Arabidopsis thaliana: one gene and its partners. The protein of the gene in region 3 interacts with the protein of the main gene of each other region in a biochemical or structural test. Each region holds a gene or a part of one and is shown on either strand. Other genes may lie near its edges.

Region 1 (7,716 bases), on a different chromosome or scaffold from region 3:
TGCTCGAATGCGGTTTCGATGTTACATTGTTGGGTCAAATCAAAGTAGAACTACTGTTCCTCTGGTTGTAGAATCCTCACCTTTTCCCGTTACAGATATTTGTACCACAAGTTTCTACAACATAATGTAATAATTTCTCCTGTTCACTCTCTATCTCCTTCCTGTATGTATGTATACTTCTATACCTTAAGAACCGAACTGACTCAAACATGGAGACATAAGAGATTCAATTAACAATTTGAACAAAGCTTTTACATTCGTGTTTAAGGTACATTCTGTCTTAAACCCCAACCTGATTATCACTTCTTCATTAAAACCTGCTTCTGGAAAAAATCTTTGAGCCATAAGGGCATATGATACATGACTGCCATGAGGGTTGAATACCTGCCTGACGAGAACCAAGCGGGTGGATTCTTCTTCAGCACTGCGGCTACAGTGTCTCTGGCAAATGTTTCTGCAGGAGTTGGATTCATCCTCTGTGATATAAACGCCCTTTCTCTGATAGCTTCTTCATAAGGCTTGTATAGTTTCAGCTCAGGCATTTTGTTGAAAGTTGCCACAGCTGAGTTTGCTATGTTTGTTCTTATTCCTCCCGGGACAACATTGATGACATCAATCCCAAACGGACGAAGCTCCAACCTGACGTTAAGCAGGAAACATTACAAAACAATTGACAAACCAAAACCATCCGGTGCTGGATAATTTGAACAACTACACTTGTCATGAACATCAAGAATCATCAACCTAACCCAACATCAGACTTTAGTCCTCAGAAATAATGATACTCAAGTTTGATCACACCTTAAAAAAAGATTAGACCATTTCAACAATTTTTAGTTTACTACCATCAAATCTCCATTGACAGAACAAACAGAATATATATCAGCATGCGACATAGGAAGATTATTCAAACGACACAAATAGCGGCGTTTGATAAGTTAAAACAGTGGAACCAAATCTGAAAACGGTAAAAGCAAACCTCAGAGTATCGGTAAGAGCATGAATAGCAGCTTTGGTAGCTGTATAGACACCAGCCCATGGACCAGGTGCCATAACAGTGATACTTCCAACGTTGACAATCTTTCCCTTTTTCTTAGACACCATGTGTGGTACAACAGCTTGAGTCATCCTCATGGAACCTGCATTGAAAAATTCACTTCTTCAAAACTCTCCTAACAGCCCAAACGCAACACACATGATCAACACGTATTTGAGTTCCTTGAATGTCCACAGAATCAACATTTGAAATGGATTGTAAATTCCAATGATTCACTAATAAGCAAAAAAACCAGAACTGTTGAAGCTCCAATAAATGTAATAATTGAAACTAAAAATCAAATCTTTATTACCAAAAACATTGGTGTTGAATGTGTTTTCCATGGCGGAAATTGGAGTCTCCGCCAGAGGTCCAACGCACTGAACTCCGGCGTTATTAACAAGAACGTCGATCTTACCGAACTTATCAATAACCTCCGACAAAACCTTACTCACATTCTGGTCCGATTGCACATCAAGCTCCTTCACGAATAACCTCGAATCTTGCTCCAGATCCGTCATCGTACTCCGTGATCGACTCGTCGCCACCACTCGACATCCCTTCTCAGTGAACTCACGGGCCAGCGCGTGACCAATTCCTCCCTGAGAACATCCCGTAATTAGAACCACCGGACTCTCATCGCCACTCTCCATTTTAGAGTTCCGTGGAACAACAACAATGGAATTTTTTTTTTTGTGCAAACCAACAAATTTCAGAGATTAATTAATGCATCGGATTAGGCTTAATTACTACGATGATTTGTTTTTTCTTACTACGACACCGTTTCCATTAACTTACAAGAAACTGTACTTAAAAACTAACCCAAAAGAGTATAAAACCAAAGCTTGTAGAACTCGAAACTTAAAGCAACATGCCCTCTGGTGATTAGAGAAGCAAATGAAAGTAACATCATGCCTAAACTAGATTTCCAGCATGAGGTTCAAACGTGACTTATAGTACAAGGATGAAACATAGTTAAGCAGAAAAAAGCCACTAGAAACCGCCACAGCAAACTGAGATTTAGCTTCAAATTTCCTCATCAGACTTTCAATCTTCTTCTCCTCAATCCCAAACATCATCAACCACCCAACCTCCGCTGTATTCGATGCTTTCTCTGCCGTTGTATTCACCTTTTGGTTACATTCATCTGCCACTAATATTGCTATGTCCGCCGATGAATCCATTGTTGGATCTTCCTATATCAGTTGTCTGTCTCCAATTCTATGCCAAAGATACACGAAGCTATTTATACTGGCTTCAGTGTGCGGGTTTTGAATGAGGAATGTTCCACTTTCTTTTTATGTTAATCATATCACATTACTTTCTATTGGCTTTGATGGTTTCTTTAAAGAGAAAATTGGCTAGGTTGGTTTATTGATACCGTGTGTGCACCAATACTTGTTTTAGTTACAGACAATGGTTTTAAAAACCTCGATTAGTCGGCATTGTCCAAATAATATTATACTTTTTGTGAAATCATTTTATTCCTCATTATCGAAACCCAAATCTGTTCAAAACACTTTATTGGGCCATAAATTATTATTTCTCAATCTTATGTTACAAGCCCAATTTTATATAAACTTACTTACAGCCCATTTCTCGACATTTTCAGTTTTTGACAAAAAAACTTTTTGGTTTCAAATTAAATCTTTCTTCTCTTTGTGGGCTTTCAAAACTGATGGGGATGCTCTTACAACTCATGATTTTTTGTTTCGGGGGATCAGGAAATGATAGGTCTCGTTCCACGACGATTTTAATAATCTTCTTTTAGATTATCTATCTTTTACTTCAACCAAAATTACTATTAGACGAAAGATGTTGACCAGAATACGTATTTTATTTTTGATAAATATTCAGCTTTTATATAATATAGTAGAAGAAAAGAGTAAAGTAAAAGAAGAAGATAAAATGTAGTCAAAGGTAGGAACCAAAAGGAAAGAGAAGAAAAGGAAGTTAATCTTAACATGATGATAGTTCCCATTTTGTCTTGGGGATAATGTCGCAAAGACTTCCTCAATTTTCTTACTTTCTTCCTATTTTACGTTCTTTTTCTTTTGTTTCTAGAAAGACATATATCTTTATTTGATATATTATATTCATATGAAATTTAGAAAGAATGTAAGATATATATATATATATATATATAATGAGTATTTAGAAAGTAAGTTACTTCGATTAATTAATCAACTTGGCTATAAAAACTATTATGAGTCAAATGTACATATGAACAATCTACTCAATTGGCTACTTCACAAATCTATCTATTTGTTTCAAGAAAATCCTTGCAATGAAATTCATCGAATAAAAACATCATACCTTTACACCTATTTAGTGGATAAGTGTGATCTACTTCTACAGTTGCACTGCCTTCTTTTGTTCCTTTTCACGTCAAACACACTCACATTTGAGCATACATAAATAGAAACAACAATATCTCTAAAACATTACTTAAAAAACTTTCAAGTTTGCTTCGATTTACCTGGCATTCGTATCCTTTTTATCCCTTCGTCCAAAACATTTTTCCAAATGTCGAGTGGCTCGGGACCAAATCCCAAAACATTTTGTCATTCTTAACTTTTCAAATAATCTAAAAAGTTTTATGGGAAATTAAGGATTATCCGCCAACTACGGATTGTCTTGACTAGGTTCTTCCATATTATATAGTCAAAATTCGGAAAAAATCAAGCTTTTTCGAAAGATTTCCGGTGCCGAAAAAACAGTTGATAATTAAAGTCCATGTTTGTAAATTCGAATGACATTAAAAATGTATAACTTATCGTCTCAGCTTTTGCTTCAAAATGGGAACAATATTGAACCACACTACATTTAACTGGGTGTTAACACGCCAACATAAATCACTTTCATATAAAATGTTTTATCTTTGGTGTACTATTTATCGTTCACGAATGATTGGCTCTACGTTCAGGCACTCAATCATATATAGAATCCTTTCTATAATATTTTATAAATTAAACAAAACTAAAAGATAATATCTTTTAGAATGTAGAAGTCGAGTTAAATATTACAGGGTTCGTGAAAACTCAAAGATTGAATTCAAGACATGAATATTGTTAGCCAAAAATACAAATGAAAAAAGAAGAGTGACGACACCCACTCTTAGTGGCAAACCACTTTTTTTTAATAAGATAGCACTTGGGAAGAATTCCACAAATAGGTAAAAGCAAAGAGTTTGTGCGTCATGTCTCATTAATATCTTTTCGAATTTATTTATTTTCATTGTTAATGTTTTTTGTATTCTAATACTGTTAATACATTATTCATATTTTGAAAAAATTGTGTCGACATAGGACTCTTCCCTCAATGACGTCTTCATTCATAGCCTTCTTTCTTTTGTTTGCTAAATGACTTCACTCACAGCCCTTAATCATATGGAAAAGAAAAAATTATGTGTGAATATGTCAGGAAACTAATTACTGCCAGGCAAACAATGTAATACGTGAACAAGAATAATATACGTATGAATGTATGATAACATACTAAAGGAAAAGGGAAAGTTGGTTAGATACTGTTTACACGGAAAAATGCACCAAATCACATAAATTAGTTAGTATTCGTTGTGTTTAAAATAATTAGTAAAGAGGCAAGTGGATAGAAGTTGTGGTCACCCAACACAAATATGTCTCCGACTCCAATGCAAGTTGAAGAGCCAATCTGTTCTAAATCAAAAATAATTCAATATTTCTTTATCAGCTAAGTGATTCCTTCGCAAAGGTTCGTTTATCTTTTTCAGTATATAAATATTATCAAATAGTACAACAAGACGTATATGTGAATCTTTTTCGTTGGCATAACCTGGATATAAACTATACCTAAATGCAGGCCTGCCTAAATGTTGATATAATTTTATTATATAAGCGTTGCTTAGTAAGTTGAAAACTTTAAAGATTACATGCTTATCGGTCTCTTGTTTTGCTTATAGAGAAACCTCAATATTATTGTTCTCTTATATATATTGGGTAATCTTAACCCAATATTTGGTCAGCATGCTATAGAACTATCAAAACTAATGACTACGCGCATCTTATTTTTTTATTTTGACGTCAGGCTTGCGATTATGTCAAGTACTTTGTTTTGATTGATGTCTTATAAATCCCAACATAGAAGTTAGAAAGTTTAACCGCTTCTCTCATTCCCGCGACAAATCTTACCACAATAATATGATTTAGTAATTTACCCTCTTCCCACGCGCTACTAAGCCGCGCGTGTGCCGTCAATTGGCACGTCATCACCGACGAGACTCGCCGCAAACTTTGACGTGTGATGGATAATAAATATATCGTTGGAAAACTTAAAAGAGTATGAATTATTATTACTGAATAATTTTCCAATATACTTGGTGTGTAACATCAGCGAGGTAGTGGAGACATGACAAATGAGAGAAATACAGAATAACCAGAAACAAAATTAAATTAGTAATCGAATAAATTATGGACTTAAAGGTATCTTAAACATGTCAAAATTTGGTTTTTGACTGTGTAGCTGATGTATCTAGTACATATACTTAAAGGACAAATATCACCGAAGAATCAACAAACCAAAAAAAAAAACAGAAATAAATGTTAGTATATATATTTTTATTGACATTTATTAGGATATAGAAAAATTTAGAAAACTCAATCAAAGGTCTCTCTTTTAAAGTTGTCGTGTTCTCTCTTGAATGATTCTTCTTCTCCTTCTTCGAGATGACAAGTTCAGAGAACGAGATTTTACCATCCCTTATTCTATCAGACCGGTTTAAGCTGCAGATTTCTAGGCTTAGCGTTCGATTTCGTCGCTGAAAGTGAAAAGTTCATCTAGCTTTAGTTTTCTCTTTTCATGGTTTCCGCGGGAAAAGTTCGTCTTTTTTGAAGCCCTTTTGACACAAAAGACCAGAACAAGGTTCGACTTCGGATCTCTCTTCTTTCTGAATTTTCATCTCTTGGTTGATATGAATATCATTATCTCTGCTTGACTGCAAAAAAAGGTTCAAACTTTGTGTTTCTCTGTTTCATTCTCTTATTGAAGCTGTAACTTTTATTCTGATGGTTGCTTCTGATATACCATTTCATGATTTGCTATGTGATAATTTGGTTCTATATCTTATAATCGAATCTTGACTTTTATAACAAGAATGTTATATCAAATCACTGGGTGAGAGTAATGGATTTTTTTTCCTTATTGGGAGGTGTTTAAGATGGTCCACCATTAGTGGCTAAAAGAAGAAGATACAGTAGGAACCAATAACTGACAATGACATTAGAGTTTGGTCTGTTTTTGGAAATGCAATTAGAGGTTTTGAGAACAAAATTCAGTGACTTGTATCTATTTGACAACCTTTCAAAAGACACTAGTAAAAGAACAGGGCTTTTCGGGTGTATATGATGACTCCGATGTTTCGCCATATCAATGGAGCTTATAGATGTAGGGAAGGTAGTAGCTAGCGTTGACGAATTGGGTGATGGATAATGACTTAATGTCACAACCTTTGCTTTTGGCTGCAAATCACTTACATATCTCTTTAACTTGTGATCTTGTATCTTTTGCAATTCTTGACTTTGATGAATGAAGTTTTGTATTTTTTTTTTTTTGTTTTGTTGCTAGTTGAAGAAATATGAATACAACCTCGACACATTTTGTTCCACCGAGAAGGTTTGAAGTTTACGAGCCTCTCAACCAAATCGGTATGTGGGAAGAAAGTTTCAAGAACAATGGAGACATGTATACGCCTGGCTCTATCATAATCCCGACTAACGAAAAACCAGACAGCTTGGTACTTCAAAGTTTGCTATATATTTCAGATAAAGTGAATTCAGAAACTAATGCTTGCTTTAATCTTTGTTCAGTCAGAGGATACTTCTCATGGGACAGAAGGAACTCCTCACAAGTTTGACCAAGAGGCTTCCACATCTAGACATCCTGATAAGGTAAGTTATAATATAGCTCATTTGGTTATCTTAATTCCTTGAAGATTTTGTCATTTTAATCTTTATGTCTTCACAGATACAGAGAAGGCTAGCACAGAATCGAGAGGCAGCTAGGAAAAGTCGTTTGCGCAAGAAAGTATGAAACTTTATGTTCCTGCAACTCGTAAAACAGTTTTGTTTTCTTTAAACTGAGCTATAGAGTATTTTCTTGCAGGCTTATGTTCAGCAGCTAGAGACTAGCCGGTTAAAGCTAATTCATTTAGAGCAAGAACTCGATCGTGCTAGACAACAGGTTTGCACAAAATATTATTCTTCCTTAAGTATCTTGTTGATGTAATAATATATGATCATAATGTTGCAGGGTTTCTATGTGGGGAACGGAGTAGATACCAATGCTCTTAGTTTCTCAGATAACATGAGCTCAGGTTTGAGTCTTCTTTCACCTTTAGCGTTTAGGTAGTTTCCATTTGATTTTGAGATTCATCAGTTTTCTTTTTCTTGTTAGGGATTGTTGCATTTGAGATGGAATATGGACATTGGGTGGAAGAACAGAACAGGCAAATATGTGAACTAAGAACGGTTTTACATGGACAAGTTAGTGATATAGAGCTTCGTTCTCTAGTCGAGAATGCCATGAAACATTACTTTCAACTCTTCCGAATGAAGTCAGCCGCTGCAAAAATCGATGTTTTCTATGTCATGTCCGGAATGTGGAAAACTTCAGCAGAGCGGTTTTTCTTGTGGATAGGCGGATTT
Region 2 (8,062 bases), 4.1 Mb from region 3:
AACAACTCGAAGCCAGAAGATGCGTAACTTTGTTTAAATCCTGAGATTGTTTGCTGGAAGAGAAAATTTAAGAAATTTCATGAGAGTAAAGCTGGAGAAGATGACAAAAGCATCACTTGGTGAGAAGGACATTTTGGTAACTTCTCAGCGTCATAAATGGTGATGGTGAACGGTCGAACTTCCCATCCAGTAATAGGTTGCCACGTCATGGGACAAAAAAACGTGATCTTTTTATTTTATTTTATTTTGCTGCCTAAAACGTGATTTTTTGTCCACTTACGAAGTGAGGTAAATTTAATTTAATTTTTAATGCAAACGAAGACTAAAGAGTGAAGAGAGTAAGAGACTCGTAAATATAAGAAAATTATGATTGCTGATCGTAAACTGATTTAGTTTTCATAATTTTGTCAGACACTCCCAAAACAAATATTTCAAAAAAGTTAACGAATATTCTGGTGAATCACTTGTATAACAGAGAACAAAGCTAAACATCGGTAGTAATCAAAGCTCGCTAAAAAAATATCTTATTGGAAGAAGAAACAATGCGAGAGACTCAGACAAAAAAAACTATATATATTTCTTTACTGAAAGCAAATATCGTCCGGAGGAAAATGGCATTACCGGACCAAAAATGATCAAGGCGAATCATCATCTTTTTCCTGAGGGCTTCCAGCGAGCCAGCCCCATACGCCACCCGAGCCCTGTCGTTTAGCGTTCATTGCAGCTTGTTCTGAGGCAGCCTTTTGACGTTGCAGGAGTTCGAGTTCCTTCTGTAGTGTTTCCAATGTTTGAAGCTTTTGTCTTAGCTCTGCAACATCAACCTGCAGATTCGGAGAAAGTGACCCAATTAGATTTGCTTTGTTTTTGTTCTTATGACGTGATGAAGCTTATCAATAAATGACAGAGAAGATATGTGATAGATCCAGTGGTTACAATGGATGAATGTTCTAATCAAGATTCCTATTCATCCTGGAATATGAGTATATGTAGTCATTAAATCACGGGTTTCACGAGATTCCAAATTCTGTAGGTTATGGTACAAAAGAGATGTGGCTACGGTTTAGTACCTCCAGTTTGAAACACCTTGATTGTTCGGCTGCAAGTTGGCCACGAACAGATTGAAGTTCCTACAAAATGTCAGTACAAAGTTAGGTATATCATATTCGAGGAAAAATTCCGAGATTTCAGATGTTAAATGTGAATGCAATTGGAAGACTGCTGCAACCAGTCTTTATGAACGATTGGTTCACCAATTTATTCATGTCGGCTTCTGTTTTAAGAAGGTGATAATATTAGTACCTTGTACAAATCTGTGTTTCGTAATTCTGCTTCTCCTAACTCTTGCCTTAGTTGGAGAGTCTGCATCCTCTCTTTGTTCAGTGATGCCTCCAGCTCTTCCTTCTCAGATTTAATAGTCGCAATAATGCGTTCGCTGTTTCCTTCAACCTGGGGATTAATCACCCAAAACATAATAAGAGTGCGAGAAGGTGATGATCCGGACTGGAGTAACTATATTCTGTGTCGACACAATCACTACCACAGCATATATGCATAAGATGCTTCAATTCTCTCAAACAAATCAAAAGGTGGTGCTATGCAAAATATATTAAGGAGGGAAATTTGACAAGAAGATACCTTTGATCCAGGGTTAACATTGTCCATGACAATTTCCCGTACCCTGCCTTCTTGGCTCACCTCAACCTCAGACTCAATGTCTCTGGTTGTGGCATTATTAACAGCAGAAAGACTACCTGGCAAAGGCGCTTCCAGAGTCTTTGTTTGCAATGTTGATTTGTGGCTTGGTTTAAGAAGATTAATCTAATGCCAGATAAGAATTAGAAGCAGAACTAAATGAAAAATTAAGAGAAATGAACTTATGGGTTCAGATCACAGTCCCTACTTCGTTATTGTAACGTCCATTGTATCCACCAAAAGCGACTAGTACATCTTCACCATTGTATGAACTCACCACTAAACTTAATCCCTGTCAGTAGCAAAGGAAAGGACGATGGAAATGAAATAAGCATGACTTGACTTTTTTCGAAGTCTTGAAAAGGCTTCTACCGTGTTTATTTGTATAGCTATCTGGGAATTAATATGGATAAAGTCTGTTTATTTAAGTACCTCGCTAGCAAGAGGTACACGTCCTTGAACTGAAGCAACGACCGACCATGCAAGAGTTGACATGTTTAGTACAACACTCTCCGATGCCCCTGCAGTAATTTGTCACAAAATTAGTCACCCCACACACACAAAAAAAAAAACCCAAGCAAATATCTTTTGTTCTAGGGGGTGATAAACAGAACGGTTGGGAAGAGAAAATTTCCAAGGGAAAAGTGCATTAACATACCACTCTTGTTATCACCGCCACCAACAATAAACCAGTTCTCCCCAATTGTCACGCCAGCATGTCCAGCTCTTGGAGTTGGTGCATCACCTTGCTGTGCTGGTCTTGACCACTCCATCTATATGTGACAATTATATCAGAGGCTGACAAAGCATGTTTGAGAGCAGCTGAAAGAATAGACTCTTAGCTTAACTTACAGTTTGCAAATCAAGGACATGCAGGTCATCGAAACAGGTTGCATGTGAGCCGCCACCAAAGATAAGAAGGAACCGTTCTGCATGCACTGCAGCAGCATGATCAGACCTCGGAGATGGAGATACACCCCTGCAATTTGACACCAATTTAAATCCTGAATTGCTAATCTTTCAATAACGACTAAGATACTAAAGGAGATAGGAGGTCGATTTCTAACATATTCATATTCTGGTTATATATCTAATCTTAAATGGGTTTGACTTCTTCGAAAGAGAACAAAATGCAGAAACATCATAAAATCTTACACGGCATCTATCTCATCCCAGGTCATCGTGTCTAGGTCAAGTATATGCAAATCGTTCAGAAGTGATCTCTTTGCATCTTGCCCGCCAAATATCACCAAGGTTTTACCCACCATTGTAACTGACTGGCCTCCACGTGAAACCTAAAAGCAAGAGATAATTATAAGAAAGTCTAAATTTAAGTAACCAAAATGCATATTTGACTTCCAAATTAGCAAGGAGAAATTCTGGATTTAGATGCACCTTAACCCTGAAGATATTATGGGAGGGTAAGGAAAGAAAACAACTTTTATTTTTTTGTCTTTTGACGGCCAAATTTTTTTTTGTATAAAACTGTAATATTTTCATACAAAGGTGACAGGAAAGCAAATGAGACAACATGAGAGAAGTGAAGATATACCGGTGGTTTTCCATATGTCTTTAACATTGACCATGTAATGGTATGGGGATCAAAGACCTTCACTGTGACAGGAAACAGTAGAAAGTGATATGTAATCATTGAGATTCCAGAAAAATCTTATAAATATGTGCAAATTATCGTCTTCAAAGGTATATAAACGCTAACCTTGCATAGATTCTGAGGGATCCTTTGTGTGACCACCGATAGACAGCAGCTTGTTGTCCCATGCTATCTACAAAACAAGCAAAGAAGGTAAGTGAATAATGTATAGCTAGAGTCTTCTTTATTACAAACTAATATAGCAAGTGACTTTCATGAAGAGAATACTTTGCTTTAGCTGAAACCCCTCTCCTGAATATTTCTGGGCAGGAAAGCAAAACGATAATAACAAAAACAAAACGAAAAAGTTAATAAACTTACCAAAGAATGACCAGCACAAGGAGCTAACAATGTCGGAGTTGATGTTTCCTGAGATTCTGTTGCAACCTTGGTTTCAACTCTTGACCAAGTCCAACTTTTTAAATCTAGAACCTGTATACATTCCACAGAAGCTTTGCTTAGGAACTGTCACCGGGACTGGTATTGTCAAGCTAGGAGCTGAATATCTCAATTACATTAGGAGCTTATGCTTATAAACCATAGAGGTTGCTTACATGAAGATCACCAAGGTAACGGCCATTGTGATTTCCACCATATATATACATCTTATCTTGAATAACTGCTGCGCCATGCTGAAAAAAATATAATAAACAAGACTTAGAAAAATACAGAAGATACATGAATGACATAACCTTTTACTTATTCTTCAAAAGAGAGAGAAAAAATAAATTACCTCGTAACGAGCTTTTGGACGCTGACCTGATGTTTGGGGTGCAGTCCACTGGTTATATACAGAAACAGTATTTGAGTCTTCTGAGACTACATCTTTATCTTGGGTTTCAGCCAAACGTCCATTCTCCGTAGAAATTGTTTTTGTCTCACTAAATGTGCTCCCATTCTCAACAACAGGCTCATCTTTTGCTCTCTGCTACAAAGATGAATGCACTAAAAAACTCAAATAATTTTCTTCAATCAAGCAAAAGATATGTGTAATAGTTCCCATGGTTTGGACATCGAATCCCATGGGATACCAAAACTTACATTAATTTGGACATCTACAACAGGATCTGGAATATCATTAGATGCCCTCGAATACCAACCAGGATCATCTTCCTGATAAAAATTGAGCAATAGAGAAGAAAGCAAGGTTATGCTCCAGTTAAGTCTTTAAAAAAAAAAAAAAAATAGACCTCTTTGTCGGTTACCTCCAGAATTTTCACAAAGAGACGCATTGCCTCAATGGAGGGCATGGTTCCGAGCCCCTGCCAACTAAGTAAATATGAAATGCTTCAGAACAGTAGCATGTGTATCTTTCAGGAAAGGAACGAGGACAACTTTAAAGTCTTATTTTCCTTTAAAAAGGATCGTAAGCATTAACAACCTCAGTAATGTAGACCAAAAGGTCCAAAACATAGGTAAGCACTTAGTTTTTTTCCCCAGGGATGCACATTCAAATCCTGCATTTCTATTTTCCTCTAGTAGCTTACACTAAAGTACTCCTTTCCCGTTTCCCTAATGCATTTGGATTCTTACGCTCTAGTAATTGATGAAATCTAAGACATCTCCTATTAATATCTACCATGAAGCATATTCCTACAAGTATGATTCACAAACGCAAGAATAGAAATAAAAGAACCAGTGATAAATGCATAAATGTTAATCGTAGATAAGTATGGGCAAAACACAGCACCCAATCTAACCTTTTCCATTTGCTTTGCTCCACTGGTCTCCAGGCACTAGGTTTCGGAGTGTTGCATGGTCCTACAGTAGCCTGTTTCAATGTTAAATCCAAGAGATCATCAGCACTGAGCCTATCTATCCCAGGGATAAAAACTAGTAGACTCGACATTATAATTAGTACAAGAGAACGTTTCTCTCTATGTTAAGGAACAGCCAGTTTCACCCCCTCGTAAGAAATTCATCTACGACTATACTAATCAAGTTATAGAATCAATGTAGATCCAAGTAAACTACGACTGACGGACCAACGCTCCCTGAGATCTAATAAAATAAAACTGTTTCAATCATGTTTCCAATCAAATCGTGATGAGATCTCGGGTAACATTTTACTGAGCATTTCGAATATACTAACCAGGATCGAAAATAACGATCAAGCACAGCTAATCAGACAAGTAAAGTGCGTCATTTCTAAAATCCGATAAGAATTCGGCGAGAGGAATATGAATCGGTGACTAAAACAAAGAAATCAACACCCAAACGACCAGATCTCGTGAAATTCAAAAGCAAAATCCACAATCGTGAGATCAACAATGGAAGAGATCAGAAATGGAAGTTGCTGACCTGCTGGTATAGCGCATAGAGAAGTAGTGCAGTATCATCGGGGAATTTCGAGATGACGTTTTTCGCCGACGAATCAGATCCGTCGAGACCGACATAAGATGCAGCAGCGTAGAACCTCTCCGGGTAAGCGGGACCAGAGGTTGCCCTAGGCATAGCCATTTGTCTCTCTCTCTGACTACGACCGCGGATTTGATCGGAGATGGAGAAGCCAATGAGCAGAGATAGGCGTTTTCTAGTTTCGTTTGTTCAAAGATACAAACTTATGATTACTTTAAATTATTTTCATTAATATAGAAACATATTCTCAAAATTTAATATTTAATTGATCAAAAATTATAGTAATTGCTTGGTGCAGTGTTTATATAGCGAGCGGCACGATCAAGAAGACATGATTATGCTCGAAACTTTTCTCTTTTTATTGTCACTTCGTATTTTTGACCTTAATCATCGTAATCAACTCAATAGTGTGAATTAATTAAGAAAAACAAAGAGACCCTATCAATATGAAGAAAAAATAAGCTTTGCTTTGTAGTATCTTGTTTCTTTTTGGGTTTTTACAATTTGTTTTCCGATCCTTTACATTCAAGAAATTATATTGAACGATTTCGCAGTAGTGTAAATTTCCGATTTCACCTCTGACCAAGCTGACTCTGGCGCTTGAGCGTTCAGTGTATAAAGCCGGCCACTGTGAGCGCAACAAACGGCTACATTATGCCGCCGGAAAAGAGGTGATTCGACTTTAAACTCCAACTCGTAGTACTTCAAGTTTCTCTCTGAATCTTGTCTGATACTTGATTCTAGCAAAGTTCCTTTCAAATCTGCTCGTTGACCAGATCCTGTCACTGTTCTTACTATTGCCTCTCCTACTTCTTTTGGCCCTCCAAACGCTTCGATTCTATATCGTAAACAATAAACACTTTCATAAAACAGATTCCGCTTCTTGAAATAAAATGACAATTGCTCGTCAAGAAAACATTGATGCTTATTGGCAAAAGAAAAAAAAAAACATTGATGCTCATCGATCTAGGTCACTTTATGATCTTAACAATCATAGCGAATCGGGTGTCTGCACTAACTTCTGTGATAGATTCAAAGTAGTAAAGAGAATCATGTACTTACATTGAGATATATTGTTTCACTTCAAACATGTACTAAATGTAATAAACAATCTTGAAAATTACAACTTTGAAACTAGTTGTTAGACCACTAAAATAATCGATCTAGTCTTACAATTTTTTCTCATGATCAATTAGATTTGTTTGCAAGATCTAGTAAACCATATCACTTAGTCGTTACCAGTTACCACAGAACAATCAAATGTTTCTACTATAAGAATGATGTTTTTTTTTTTTAATGACACGTCAGCTCTAGGGCGATTTTCTTGGCGACTAGGGTTTTCATTCTTTTTCAGCAAGCTAGGGTTTCAGCGGCGGCTTGCCGTCGGTTTCTCATGTCCGACCAGGTTTTACCAGTCTCTTCTGAGGCAGGAACAGTTGGTTCTCCATCTGGATCTGTCCAGCAAAAGTCCTATGCAGCAGTAGTTACTAAACGGCCTTCTCTGAAAAAAGATGAATATGAAGTCTCTGTGCAAGACGGTGTCCCAACCATTGCAGTTCCGAAAGAAGTTATCACTGAATCTGTCCCTCTCTGGGATGATTTTCTGGTGGGACGGTTCCCATCACAAGCTCCGCATGTCGCTAAGATCCATGTCATAGTCAATAAGATCTGGACTCTTGGGGACAAAGCAATTAAGATTGACGTCTATGAGATAGACTCTACTTCAGTAAAGTTTCGAATCCGTGACTCCGCCACGCGTTCGAGAATAGTCAGAAGAGGGATGTGGAACATTGCTGGTTTACCAATGATTGTTGCCAAGTGGTCTCCGATTAAAGAAGAAGCCCAGCCAGAGATTAAAACAATGCCGTTGTGGGTCACAGTGAAGAATGTTCCTCATTCCATGTTCTCCTGGGATGGTTTGAGTTTTATTACAAGTTCAGTAGGAAATCCAATACGGTTACATCCTGAAACAGAATTATGCACAAAGTTTGATGAAGCTAAAGTTTTTGTTGAAGTAAATCTTTCGCAAGACGTTCCAAAGTGTCACAGGTTCAAAATTGAGGAGGAAAAAGATGTTATCGTGGAGTTTATTTACCCCTGGTTGCCTCCCAAATGCACTTGTTGTAGTAAGTGGGGTCACCTAGTGGATGTTTGTGTGAGTAAGCTCAAGCCTCCAGCGCTGGTGATAGAAAGTGAGCTAGAAGAAGGTGAAGTTTTAGCGGATCCTTCTGCTTCTGCTACCACAGTGAGAGTTGCTGACCATGAGTCAGCTAATAGTGGGAATAAAGAGGATGGGATTCAGAACTCGATTTTGATTTCTCAGGAGGTTTTTGAACAACAAGTGGTAGCAGAGAAGGTGGT
Region 3 (3,946 bases):
TGGTGGTATGGGTTATAGCAGTAATCCGAGTGGTTTTTCTGGTGGTTACACGAGCTCCGGTGGTTTTAATGCTAATCTTGGAGGTCCTTCAATGAAAAATATGGCTGGGGGCAATCTAAATGGGTCTGGTCTTCCTTCGAATAGTGATCCATTTGGTTCTTTGGTTGGTTTCGGATCAAAATCATCAGGAAGCAAACCAGGAAAGGTTAACAACAATGCACAGAATGATACTTTTGGGAATTTTCAAGGAGTGTCGAACCTTAACAGTGGCGGTTCTACGGGAACAACTACTCAAATCAACGACTTTGGGGGTTTCCAGGCTTCGAAATCAAACACATTCTCATCAGGAGGTAGCTTCAATGCTTCAAACGTTGATTTTGGTGTGCAACCAAGTGGTCCACAATCTTCGAGTGCAAACGATGATCCATTAGGAATGTTCTCTAATTCCAAACCCTCAGCTGCACCACCTACGCCACAGACCGAAGATTGGGGATTTGAAAGTTTTGACGGTGGGGCTGGTTCCACCACCGAGCTTGATGGTTTGCCACCGCCTCCACCGGGTGTATCAGCTACATCAGCTAAGAACAAGGGCATTGATAACCAGAGACAAGGTCAGTATGCTGATGCCATAAAGTGGCTCTCTTGGGCTGTGATTCTTATGGATAGAGCTGGTGATGAAGCTGGATCAGCCGAGGTTCTTTCAACAAGGGCTTCGTGTTACAAAGAAGTTGGAGAGTATAAGAAAGCTGTAGCCGACTGCACAAAGGTATGTTAAGAAAGGCACATTTTTCTTTGGATGCATCATGGACCATGGTTCATATCATTCTCATCTCAGATCCTTAGTTTACGAAGTCTCTAGTTGTATTGGAATCAGTTTAAGGACTCTTGATGAAATTGATACTGATAAGAGTTTTCAGGTATATGAAACTTGACAATATGAGATTTAGGTTCTTATGGAATCTTAAGATAGATTACGAGTTAGAAATACTGTGCACGTATAGAAAGTTTTAGTGTCTTGCTTTGTAGGAAAATATACCACAACTAAACAGTTCTTGGGATCGCGTCATCGTAGCTAGTTGATTGGTTGTTATGCTCCATAGATGGTTTCTTGTAGACTCAGAACAAAACCAACATCTTCGAAACTTGTTCTGATTGTCAGTTATGCTTCACAGATGTTTTTTGTTCACTTTGAAAACGTGATTGCAGGTACTTGATCACGACAAGAAGAATGTGACCATTCTGGTTCAACGAGCACTGTTATACGAGAGCATGGAGAAATACAAACTCGGAGCTGAAGACCTAAGGATGGTTCTAAAGATTGATCCCGGGAATAGAATCGCTAGAAGTACTGTTCACCGCCTAACCAAAATGGCTGGTTGATCCTTCATATATACGGATACTACTCAAAGAAAAAAAACAAAAAACCCTCAAATATCTATAATCCTTCACATTGCTTTGCTCAATACCGTTTCCTCTCTCATCCATGGACCATGCGTGTGTGTATTTTTTTTCTGAGATTTATTGGTTCGTCTATAATGCGGCAGCTTCTTGTAGTAAGTGGGTCATGAGTGTATTTTTTTGGATGGTGCATTTATATGTTGTTGATTTTCTTACACACTAATTTTTTTTGAGTTTATCATGAAATGTTTGATCATCGATGTCATATGAAATGCCAAAGATGACCGTAAATTTCGCATCGTAACTCGCAAAGATGAACCTTACTTTGAGACGCTGCCTGCGTGATGGACGTGAGACGCATAACGCATACTATTAAATTACCAGACGCTCGTGGACACAACACTTCAATACCGAAAACTAAACTAATCACATTGTGATACGTTTTGTATTCAGAGAGCCAAAAAAAGGCTTACAATTTTGTCGTTATGTGGATTAGCCTTCAATTTGTTGTAACCGTCATGTATCAAGGAACATAAAACTATTAGAATTATTATTCTAATATAAAGTAATTCATTTCACTCACACTTTATTACCATAAAACATTTATTTTGCGCCTATAAAGGCATTTCAGCTCCACCGTAGGAAACTTTCTCTTGAAAGAAACCCACAGCAACAAACAGAGAAAATGTGTGGCGGTGCTATTATTTCCGATTATGCCCCTCTCGTCACCAAGGCCAAGGGCCGTAAACTCACGGCTGAGGAACTCTGGTCAGAGCTCGATGCTTCCGCCGCCGACGACTTCTGGGGTTTCTATTCCACCTCCAAACTCCATCCCACCAACCAAGGTATGTACTCTCCTATTAATCATAAACAAAAATACAAAATCATTCAAAAACACAAACATATAGTTTTTTCTAACCTTTTTAGCAAAAAGGTAAAATAATATTTCTGGAACTTACGGAAGATGATAAAAAAAAAATATTTGTGGTTTTGGTAATGTAATTTATCAGGATTATTTAATTATCTGTGTGGGGTTAAAATTGTAAATTTTGAACTTTGGGGAATCCGGTGAAAATTTTGAAGTTAACGTGAAAGAGGAGGCAGTGAAGAAGGAGCAGGCAACAGAGCCGGGGAAACGGAGGAAGAGGAAGAATGTTTATAGAGGGATACGTAAGCGTCCATGGGGAAAATGGGCGGCTGAGATTCGAGATCCACGAAAAGGTGTTAGAGTTTGGCTTGGTACGTTCAACACGGCGGAGGAAGCTGCCATGGCTTATGATGTTGCGGCCAAGCAGATCCGTGGTGATAAAGCCAAGCTCAACTTCCCAGATCTGCACCATCCTCCTCCTCCTAATTATACTCCTCCGCCGTCATCGCCACGATCAACCGATCAGCCTCCGGCGAAGAAGGTCTGCGTTGTCTCTCAGAGTGAGAGCGAGTTAAGTCAGCCGAGTTTCCCGGTGGAGTGTATAGGATTTGGAAATGGGGACGAGTTTCAGAACCTGAGTTACGGATTTGAGCCGGATTATGATCTGAAACAGCAGATATCGAGCTTGGAATCGTTCCTTGAGCTGGACGGTAACACGGCGGAGCAACCGAGTCAGCTTGATGAGTCCGTTTCCGAGGTGGATATGTGGATGCTTGATGATGTCATTGCGTCGTATGAGTAAAAGAAAAAAAATAAGTTTAAAAAAAGTTAAATAAAGTCTGTAATATATATGTAACCGCCGTTACTTTTAAAAGGTTTTTACCGTCGCATTGGACTGCTGATGATGTCTGTTGTGTAATGTGTAGAATGTGACCAAATGGACGTTATATTACGGTTTGTGGTATTATTAGTTTCTTAGATGGAAAAACTTACATGTGTAAATAAGATTTGTAATGTAAGACGAAGTACTTATAACTTCTTAACTGTTTTGTGGTAGTCCTGATTCCTGAAACTAATGGGAATTAGTTTGTATATCAAACAGGGGTTCCTAACTTGTTATTATTAGGTTAGGTGGAATAATTCTAGGGTTTTTATTGACAAAAATTAACAAATAGTGGTTTTTATGGAAAAAGGTGATGGTACCAGTATAGTGGGAATACACAGAAGAATTTGCAGCCTTTCTCAATTCTTATACGTATAATTCTCGTATGTCTATGAAAAGGGTTATACGTATGATGATTTATGAGTAGTGAGTACATACATCTTTTTCACTACTTTACATGTAATATTTATGGAAAAGGTCTGATCCGTTTGCTCTATCGAGAATTGGAATTGTGAGATATCTTGATTTTAACAGTTTCAAGATTAATGAAGAACAAAAACAATGGCAACAACTTACAAATTAACATTCGGAAGAAAGAAAAAAACTTACAAGTGAGATCAAATTTGGATTTAGTATTTTAGATGTAAGTTACAAATATTTCATAAACTAATAATCTATTAAAAAAAAATTATTCATTGTATTTTACTTTATACCGTAACCTAAACAATAAAATACAAATTTATAATTGAAGGATTTTAATTGTTTAAATTACTCTTTCTACCATATTTGTTTTTATT

Evidence for each region.
Region 1: the proteins of EBP (region 3) and TGA4 form a complex in vitro, tested with the Arabidopsis thaliana proteins (one study listed by BioGRID).
Region 2: the proteins of EBP (region 3) and ACBP4 form a complex in vitro, tested with the Arabidopsis thaliana proteins (one study listed by BioGRID).

The regions. Positions count from the first base shown.
Region 1 is NC_003076.8:3,138,227-3,145,942, reverse strand, and holds the start of TGA4 (TGACG motif-binding factor 4), read left to right. Parts: upstream 1-1,689; 5' UTR 1,690-1,731; exon of another isoform or gene 1,732-1,743; intron 1,744-1,785; exon of another isoform or gene 1,786-1,956; coding exon of another isoform or gene 1,957-2,220; intron 2,221-5,433; exon of another isoform or gene 5,434-6,604; 5' UTR 6,605-6,647; coding exon 6,648-6,806; intron 6,807-6,879; coding exon 6,880-6,960; intron 6,961-7,036; coding exon 7,037-7,096; intron 7,097-7,174; coding exon 7,175-7,252; intron 7,253-7,321; coding exon 7,322-7,385; intron 7,386-7,465; coding exon 7,466-7,716. Other genes in the region: AT5G10050 (NAD(P)-binding Rossmann-fold superfamily protein), read right to left, coding at 300-639, 980-1,139, 1,350-1,689; AT5G10040 (uncharacterized protein), read right to left, coding at 1,957-2,220.
Region 2 is NC_003074.8:1,559,621-1,567,682, reverse strand, and holds ACBP4 (acyl-CoA binding protein 4), read right to left. Parts: upstream 6,013-8,062; 5' UTR 5,804-6,012; coding exon 5,645-5,803; intron 5,115-5,644; coding exon 5,044-5,114; intron 4,613-5,043; coding exon 4,549-4,612; intron 4,457-4,548; coding exon 4,385-4,456; intron 4,272-4,384; coding exon 4,077-4,271; intron 3,976-4,076; coding exon 3,898-3,975; intron 3,776-3,897; coding exon 3,665-3,775; intron 3,477-3,664; coding exon 3,410-3,476; intron 3,307-3,409; coding exon 3,245-3,306; intron 2,988-3,244; coding exon 2,848-2,987; intron 2,672-2,847; coding exon 2,545-2,671; intron 2,466-2,544; coding exon 2,351-2,465; intron 2,214-2,350; coding exon 2,125-2,213; intron 1,985-2,124; coding exon 1,901-1,984; intron 1,819-1,900; coding exon 1,636-1,818; intron 1,447-1,635; coding exon 1,300-1,446; intron 1,128-1,299; coding exon 1,068-1,127; intron 822-1,067; coding exon 636-821; 3' UTR 347-635; downstream 1-346. Other genes in the region: AT3G05425 (uncharacterized protein), read right to left, coding at 78-209; AT3G05410 (Photosystem II reaction center PsbP family protein), read right to left, coding at 6,227-6,539. UniProt on the Arabidopsis thaliana protein: Binds medium- and long-chain acyl-CoA esters with very high affinity. Can interact in vitro with oleoyl-CoA, barely with palmitoyl-CoA, but not with arachidonyl-CoA. May function as an intracellular carrier of acyl-CoA esters.
Region 3 is NC_003074.8:5,703,701-5,707,646, forward strand, and holds EBP (ethylene-responsive element binding protein), read left to right. Parts: upstream 1-1,840; 5' UTR 1,841-2,083; coding exon 2,084-2,243; intron 2,244-2,481; coding exon 2,482-3,068; 3' UTR 3,069-3,384; downstream 3,385-3,946. Other genes in the region: AT3G16760 (Tetratricopeptide repeat (TPR)-like superfamily protein), read left to right, coding at 1-766, 1,207-1,380.